2 linked regions of the Oryctolagus cuniculus genome follow. Each later gene encodes a partner of the first gene's protein in a complex. Links are inferred from orthologs where the notes say so. Each region holds a gene or a part of one and is shown in the gene's direction. Other genes may lie near its edges.

The links. The genes of interacting proteins can lie anywhere in the genome.
Region 2: the proteins of SPAG9 (region 1) and ARF6 are in contact, whole or in part, in a crystal structure (PDB 2W83), measured with the Homo sapiens proteins. The link is inferred for Oryctolagus cuniculus from reciprocal best matches to the Homo sapiens genes SPAG9 and ARF6. Residues at the interface, in NP_001124000.1 of Homo sapiens: Lys431, Asn432, Ile435, Val438, Asp439, Thr442, Cys443, Asp446, Val447, Gln449; in NP_001654.1 of Homo sapiens: Glu13, Arg15, Lys34, Phe47, Val49, Glu50, Thr51, Thr53, Lys58, Asn60, Trp62, His76, Tyr77, Thr79.

Annotation. Positions count from the first base shown.
Region 1 is NC_091448.1:26,795,299-26,798,798, reverse strand, and holds part of SPAG9 (C-Jun-amino-terminal kinase-interacting protein 4), read left to right. Parts: intron 1-423; coding exon 424-595; intron 596-3,500. UniProt on the Homo sapiens protein: The JNK-interacting protein (JIP) group of scaffold proteins selectively mediates JNK signaling by aggregating specific components of the MAPK cascade to form a functional JNK signaling module.
Region 2 is NC_091443.1:26,198,546-26,202,487, reverse strand, and holds the start of ARF6 (ADP-ribosylation factor 6), read left to right. Parts: upstream 1-1,142; 5' UTR 1,143-1,422; coding exon 1,423-1,950; 3' UTR 1,951-3,942. UniProt on the Homo sapiens protein: GTP-binding protein involved in protein trafficking that regulates endocytic recycling and cytoskeleton remodeling. GTP-bound form plays an important role in the transport of multiple palmitoylated proteins form the Golgi to the plasma membrane.

The DNA of each region.
Region 1 (3,500 bases):
GTGTACAATTCAGTTTGGATCAGGAGCAGAGCCTGAAGCTCAAACCCAGGCACTCTGAACCTTGCTGATCTAATTAACTGTTAACTTTTAGTCTGCTGATTAATAATGATGGGTGGTTGTGTTTTTACTCTTACAAATAATCTGGAAATAAATTTGAAGTAGTATTGCCTTTTACTGTACTAGCATAGCCTTTTTTTTTTTTTTTTAAGATTTATTTATTTATTTGAAAGGCAGAGTTACAGAGAGGCAGAGAGAGAGCGAGGTCTTCCATCTGCTGGTTCACTCCCCAGATGGCTGCAATGGCTGGAGCTGTGCCGATCTGAAGCCAGGAGCCTCCTCTATGTCTCCCATGCAGAGCACAAGCTTTGAATATTGTACATGCATCTGATTTCACTCATTCATTTTCCTTACTTTCCTTTTCAGGACCAGCAAAAGGAATTAAAGAGTCAAGAAGAATTATCCAGTCAAGTCTGGATCTGTACCAGCACACATTCAGCTACAAAAGTTATCATCATTGATGCTATTCAACCAGGCAACATCCTAGACAGTTTCACTGTTTGCAATTCTCATGTTCTGTGCATTGCAAGTGTTCCAGGTGAGAGTGAGTCACTATCACTCTGCCCCTTTTCCTAGCATCTACATCTCCTTTTAGGCAGGAACCAATTTGGCTTTTGGAGATGTAGTTGTGCAATGGAGTTTATGTTCTAGTTGGGGAATATTAAAAATAAACTGAAAACTATTGAATAAACAAGATATTTTCAGATAATTGAAAAATACTGTGAAGAAAGTAAAACAGTGGTAATATGACAAGATAACTGGGAAGCGGGGCAAAGGACTTTAAATTGATTAATAAGGAAAGGTCTTATCAAGTTCTGGGTTAAATATTATGTGATATTAAAATACTACTTTAAAAATTAGTTTGTGGGGCCAGCACTGTGGAGTAGCAGGTTAACCCACCGCATGCAGCACTACGTATGCATGTGCTGGTTCAAGTCCCAACTGCTCCACTTCTGATCCAGCTCCCTACTGGTGTGCCTGGGAAGGCAGTGGAGAATGGCCCAAATGCTTGGGCCCCTATACCCACATGGGAGATCTAGATGAAGCTCCTGGCTCCTGAGTTAGGCCTGCTCCAGCTCCTGCTGTTGCAGTCATTTAAGGAGTGAACTAGAGGATGGAAGACTTCTCCTCTCTCTGTAATTCTGCCTTTCAAATAAATGAAATAAATCTTTTAAAAAAATAAAAGATGGGCTGGTGCCGTGGCTCAATAGGCTAATCCTCCACCTTGTGGTGCCGGCACACCGGGTTCTAGTCCCGGTCGGGGCACCGGATTCTGTCCCGGTTGCCCCTCTTCCAGGCCAGCTCTCTGCTGTGGCCCAGGAGTGCAGTGGAGGATGGCCCAAGTGCTTGGGCCCTGTACCCGCATGGGAGACCAGGAGAAGCACCTGGCTCCCGGCTTCGGATCAGCGCGGTGCCCTGGCCGCAGTGACCATTGGAGGGTGAACCAATGGTAAAGGAAGACCTTTCTCTCTGTCTCTCTCTCTTTCACTGTCCACTCTGCCTGTAAAAAAATAAAATAAAATAAAATAAAAAATAAAAGATGATTTTAAAAAATTTGTTTGGGACTTACCTACACAATGAAATCATATTCACATATTCAACCATAAAGAATAATGACTTTTTTTCATTTTTTTAAAATTATTGTAGGAACAGTTAATATGAGCTCTACTCTGCTAACAAATTTTTTGGTGTATGATATTATTGACTGTAGATAAAATTTCTGGTACATGGTATTTGACATAAGTTAACCCTAGAAATTTACTAAATGAAATGAACCAGACATAAAAGGACAAATTTGGTATGCTTCCATTTATCTGAGAGATCTAGAATAGGCAAGTTCAGACACAGAAATAGAATTAGAGGTTATTAGAGGTTGGGATGAGGGAGGCGAGCATAGGGAGTTATTGTTTAATGGTGTTGGAATTTCTATGAGTGATGAAAAGGTTTAGAAACAGTGCTGATGCCTGCATAACATAAATGTAATTAATGCCATGGAATTGCACACTTTAAAGTGGTTAAAATGGCAAATTTTATATTATGTTTTTTTTTTTTTTTTTTTTTTTTTTTTTTTTTGACAGGCAGAGTGGACAGTGAGAGAGAGACAGAGAGAGAAAGGTCTTCCTTTTGCCGTTGGTTCACCCTCCAATGGCCGCCGCTGCAGCCGGCGCACCGCGCTGATCCTGGCAGGAGCCAGGAGCCAGGTGCTTTTCCTGGTCTCCCATGGGGTGCAGGGCCCAAGCACCTGGGCCATCCTCCACTGCACTCCCTGGCCATAGCAGAGAGCTGGCCTGGAAGAGGGGCAACCGGGACAGAATCCGGCGCCCCAACCGGGACTAGAACCCGGTGTGCCAGCGCCGCAAGGTGGAGGATTAGCCTATTGAGCCACGGCGCCGGCTTATATTATGTATATTTTAACTACACTAAAAATTTTAATGATATCAGTAAAAACCAATTTTCTAAAAAAACTGAAGAAATTTATCTTTATCTTGAAAATGCAAAGGTTTTAAAAGTCTCACTAGACCCCAGTGGAAAGAAAGGGCCATCAAAGAAGAATGTACTTTTCTCTAAAGGGAGGAGAGAACTTCCACTTTGCTCATGGCCTTGTCTAAATACTGACAGTTTGTGGTCAAAAGGCTTCCATAACCTTGGCTGCTCATGACAAGAGCCTGGGATGGGGTGGTCATTGACGTCATAAATAAGAGTATTAGTTGTTAAATTAACAACAAAAGTTACCGTGTACTAACTCCCCATGTAGGACCTCTGTCCATAATGAGTTGTACTATGAGAATTAACTACAAAACTTGTTCTCAAACAGTACTTTATATGTTGTGTGTGTGTGTGTGGTGCAAACTGTTGAAATCTTTACTAAGTATAGAATTGATCTTCTGTATATAAAGTTAATTAAAAATGAATCTTAATGAAGAATAGGATGGGAGAGGGAGTAGGAGGTGGGATTGGAGCGGAGGTGGGAGAGCGGGTATAGGGGGAAGAACCACTATATTCCTAAAGTTGTACCTATGAAATTTGTGTTCATTAAATAAAAGCTTTATAAAAATAAAAATAAACTAACATTAAAAAATTAAAGTCTCACTAATATCTTTAAGGTACTATATGTACTTAGGATAACTAATTTTTTTAAAGATTTATTTGAGAGGCAGAGAGAGAGGGAGAGGTCTTCCATCTGCTGATTCACTCCCCAGATGGCCGCAATGACTGGAATCATGCTGATCTGAAGCCAGGAGCCAGGAGCTTCTTCTGGGTCTCCCATGCTGGTGCAGGGGCCCACACACTTGGGCCATTTTCTGCTGCTGTCCCAGGCCACAGCAGAGAGCTGGATCAAAAGTGGAGTAGCCGGGTCTCGAGCTGGCACCCATATGGGATGCTGACATTGCAGGCAACTGCTTTACTCGCTATGCCACAGCACTGACCCCAGGATAATTAAT
Region 2 (3,942 bases), on another chromosome or scaffold:
GACTGCAGCACGGGTGGGTGGGTGGGTGAGCAGCTGCCGCTCCCATACTAAAAGGAAGTGACACTGGACTAAGAACAGTTCATCGCGTTCCAGAAAGCTCTTCACCGCCAGCTTTTACAAGAAACGTGAGCTGGTCCTGATGCAACACGGACAGGGCTCCAGTGTTCGAGAGAGGGGCTTCCGAGCAAACCCGAGCCCAGCCACGGCGCGCCACTGACTGGCGGGTTCAACACGAGCGCGCCGGCCTCCCATGCGTCTTCCAGGAAAACCCTGAACACCAGAGGCAACGATACCAAGGAGGGGGTCGGAGAAAAAGCTAAAAAGCGGCCAAGGCGTCCCCGGGAGACCCGGGGCGCGCGAAGTCCGCCGAACTTTCCGGGCCTGCAAGCGGCTCCGTGGGGGCGGCTCGTCCGGCGGCCCCGCCCTTGCGGAGGCTCCATTTCCCCACCTCCCCGGAGTATTTGCTCCCCGGACTGCGGGGGCGGGCAGAGGCGCGGAACGAAGGGGCCGCCGAGCGCGCAGACGCGGCGAGAGCGACAGGTGGGCGCGGGCCAGAGCCCGAGGCGCGCGGGCTCGGGCGGGCGGCACCCGCGAGCCCTCCGGGACGCCGTAGCCCCGCCCCCTCCGGCGCGTGGCGCCCGTGACGCTGGGCGCGCGGGCCGCTCTCCTTCCAGAGGTCGCTCTTGTCCGAACGGTCGGCCTGCGCTGCGCCTGCGTGGTCGGGAGGGGAAGTGAGGCGGTTTCTTGGGCGCCTTTTCCGGCAGCGGCAGCGGCAGAGCTGGGAGGAGGTGGCGGCGGCCGGAGCGAGCCCGTGCTCGGGGCGGCGGCTGGAGGTAACCCCCACCACCACCACCCGGCACCGACACCCGGGGGCCGAGCTGTTAAGGCGGGCGGCCTCGGCCTCCGCGCCCGCTCCCGTTCGGAGCTCCGGCGGTAACTCCCTTCTCCTTCTCTGTGTCTCCGCAGGCAGCGCGCTGAGTTCCCGCGAGGATCCATGACCTGACGGGACGCCGGCGCCGCGCTGCCTGACGGGTGGCCTGGGTCGGTGGCGAGCCCGGTAGTCGGCGGGCCGTCGGGCGGGCGGAGGAACGGGCACGGCGGCGGCGCTCGCGCGGCGCCTGCGGGGGGGAAGGGCAGTTCCGGGCCGGGCCGCGCCTCAGCAGGGCGGCGGCTCTCCGGGCGCAGACTCAGGGCCCCGGCGGCGGCGGCGGCTGGAGGAACCAAGTTGTGCGGGTCGGTGATGCCCGAGTGAGCGGCAGGCCCGGGCCTCTCGCCCCGTAGGAGGCGACTCCCACGCAGGCCGCACGGGCGCCCTCGCGGCAGGGAGGCTTCGTTTCGGTTTCGCGGCGGCGGCGGCGGCGTTGTTGGCTTGAGGGGGAACCGGGACACCTGAATGCCCCCGGCCCCGGCTCTTCCGTCGCGATGGGGAAGGTGCTATCCAAAATCTTCGGGAACAAGGAAATGCGGATCCTCATGTTGGGCCTGGACGCGGCCGGCAAGACCACAATCCTGTACAAGTTGAAGCTGGGCCAGTCGGTGACCACCATCCCCACCGTGGGCTTCAACGTGGAGACGGTGACTTACAAAAACGTCAAGTTCAACGTGTGGGATGTGGGAGGCCAGGACAAGATCCGGCCGCTCTGGCGGCACTACTACACCGGGACCCAGGGTCTGATCTTCGTGGTGGACTGCGCCGACCGCGACCGCATCGACGAGGCCCGCCAGGAGCTGCACCGCATTATCAATGACCGGGAGATGAGGGACGCCATAATCCTCATCTTCGCCAACAAGCAGGACCTGCCCGATGCCATGAAACCCCATGAGATCCAGGAGAAACTGGGCCTGACCCGGATTCGGGACAGGAACTGGTATGTGCAGCCCTCCTGTGCCACCTCAGGGGACGGACTCTATGAGGGGCTCACATGGTTAACCTCTAACTACAAGTCCTAATGAGCATTCTCCACCCAGCCCCCGGAAGGAGAGAAATCAAAAACCCATTCATAGGATTATCGCCACCATCACCTCTTTCAATCGCCACTTTCTCTTCTTTTGAATTTGAACTCTGGAGTTACAGTTCTACGGTTTAGGGAGGGGGGGTTGGGGTTTTTCTTTTTTTTTTGCTTTTTTTTTTTTTCTTTTCTTTATTCCGCTTTGCGTTAGGATGCTCTGATTTGACGTTTGACATGAACACAAAGTGCTAGGTGCTCTTGTTGACTTCCAGCAAATGGGGTGGGGGAAATACAGCAGTTCTTGGTAAAGTCCTTTATAATAATGGTTTGATTTTTTTATTTCTAGAGAATCTTTTTCCCCCCCAAATGTATGCTTTTTTCCTTTTTTTTTTATCCAGTTTCCTTATCACTTGCTGTAGATGGCTTATTTTGCATTCATGCAGACTATGTTGCAAGTCTGTTTCATCTAGTAAACTGAAAATTATTGCTTAATCAAACTGCCGTTTGTCTTTTATATTTAAGGCTCCCCCCCTTATGAATTCTAACTTAGTAATTTCAAATGTGACCTAAGACCAGTATAAGTAAACTTAGCCCACAGTGGCAAATAATGAGTAATATCATTGTAATATGTTCCAGTTGCACATCAGTATGTTAAACAGGTAATGTAAGAACTTATTTGAAATGTCAGCTATTAACTCCTAAGACATACATCATGCATGAGTAGGAATAAAACCCAGGGTCGTCATAACATAGCAAACTTAACACTGCAAAAAATATGAAAGTATAACCCGCCAAGGACATGAGGTTTTTTTTCACTGCAAAGTTAGCAACTTTTCCTTTTTTTAACATCAAAAATAGACTCCTTCCAGAAAATGGAGCAATAATGGTGTGTGCCACACACAGATATCTGTAGATATTTTAAGCGACTTTTGGGCAAAACTGGAATACTTATACATTGTTTCAAGTGTCTTAAGAGCAGTAGTATTAAAGTTACTGAAACATTAGTTTGTTCATTAATAAAGCATTTAATGATTCAAGTTATATGCACCTTTTACCTAGATGGAAAAATACACATTCCTGTTTTCACATTACTGCAACTGACTAAGCTGAAGATATATCATTTTTTATAGATGAGTGATCCACATCTCCTTTAATTAGAACACTGGAAAAGATGTTTTATAAAAAAGATATTTAATTTTGTTTGATTGTGGGATTAACTCGTGCAAATAGTAAGACAACCTGTTGGTTCAATAGTACACTGTCTCCTTTAAGAAAGGCAATGTGATGAATGAATGTTGGATGTGTAGACTTAAGGGATGACAAAGGGGAAGTGGGCTGAAGAGAGAACCTACAGATGACAATGAATGTAAACTTATTTTTCTTCAAGGGTAAGCAGTGTGCTCACTGGTGATATCCAGATCCTAACAGAATTACTTGGGTAGCAAGTTAGGACCAGTAGCTAGATTGAGACCACTATGGTAGTATTTTGAACCAAATGTTAATGCTTGATACAGAGTTGTGAAGCACCATCTGGTTCTTATATAGCCTTAAGGATTAATTTTAGTGATCCTCAAGGAATTAAACTTAGGGAATTTCAGAAATGTAGACTGCAAAGGCAGTATACAGGAAAAAGTGGAGTGGGTTTCGTTTATGAGGGTGTCTGAAAACAAAACTGAGCGGGATATCATGGTATAGTTGGACAGTATTGGTCCTTCATGCTTTGGCCATATTGTATAATGGAGCTTTTACCAAAGATATCTGAGAATCATAAGGCTATTTTAAAAAAAAAAATCAACCATTCAAAGTAAAACTCTTGACAAAGCATTTTTCTTCAAGCAGATGAGAAAAGGTGCTATGTTGTAGGCTCCGGCTGGTACAAAGGGATTTTTGAGTTCAAGATGCAACTAAAGTATAAAGTAGTCAGTTTCACTTTAGTGAAAGTATCTCTAAAAATGAAGCTGATCAAACACATCCTAAGAACATTATGGTTGCT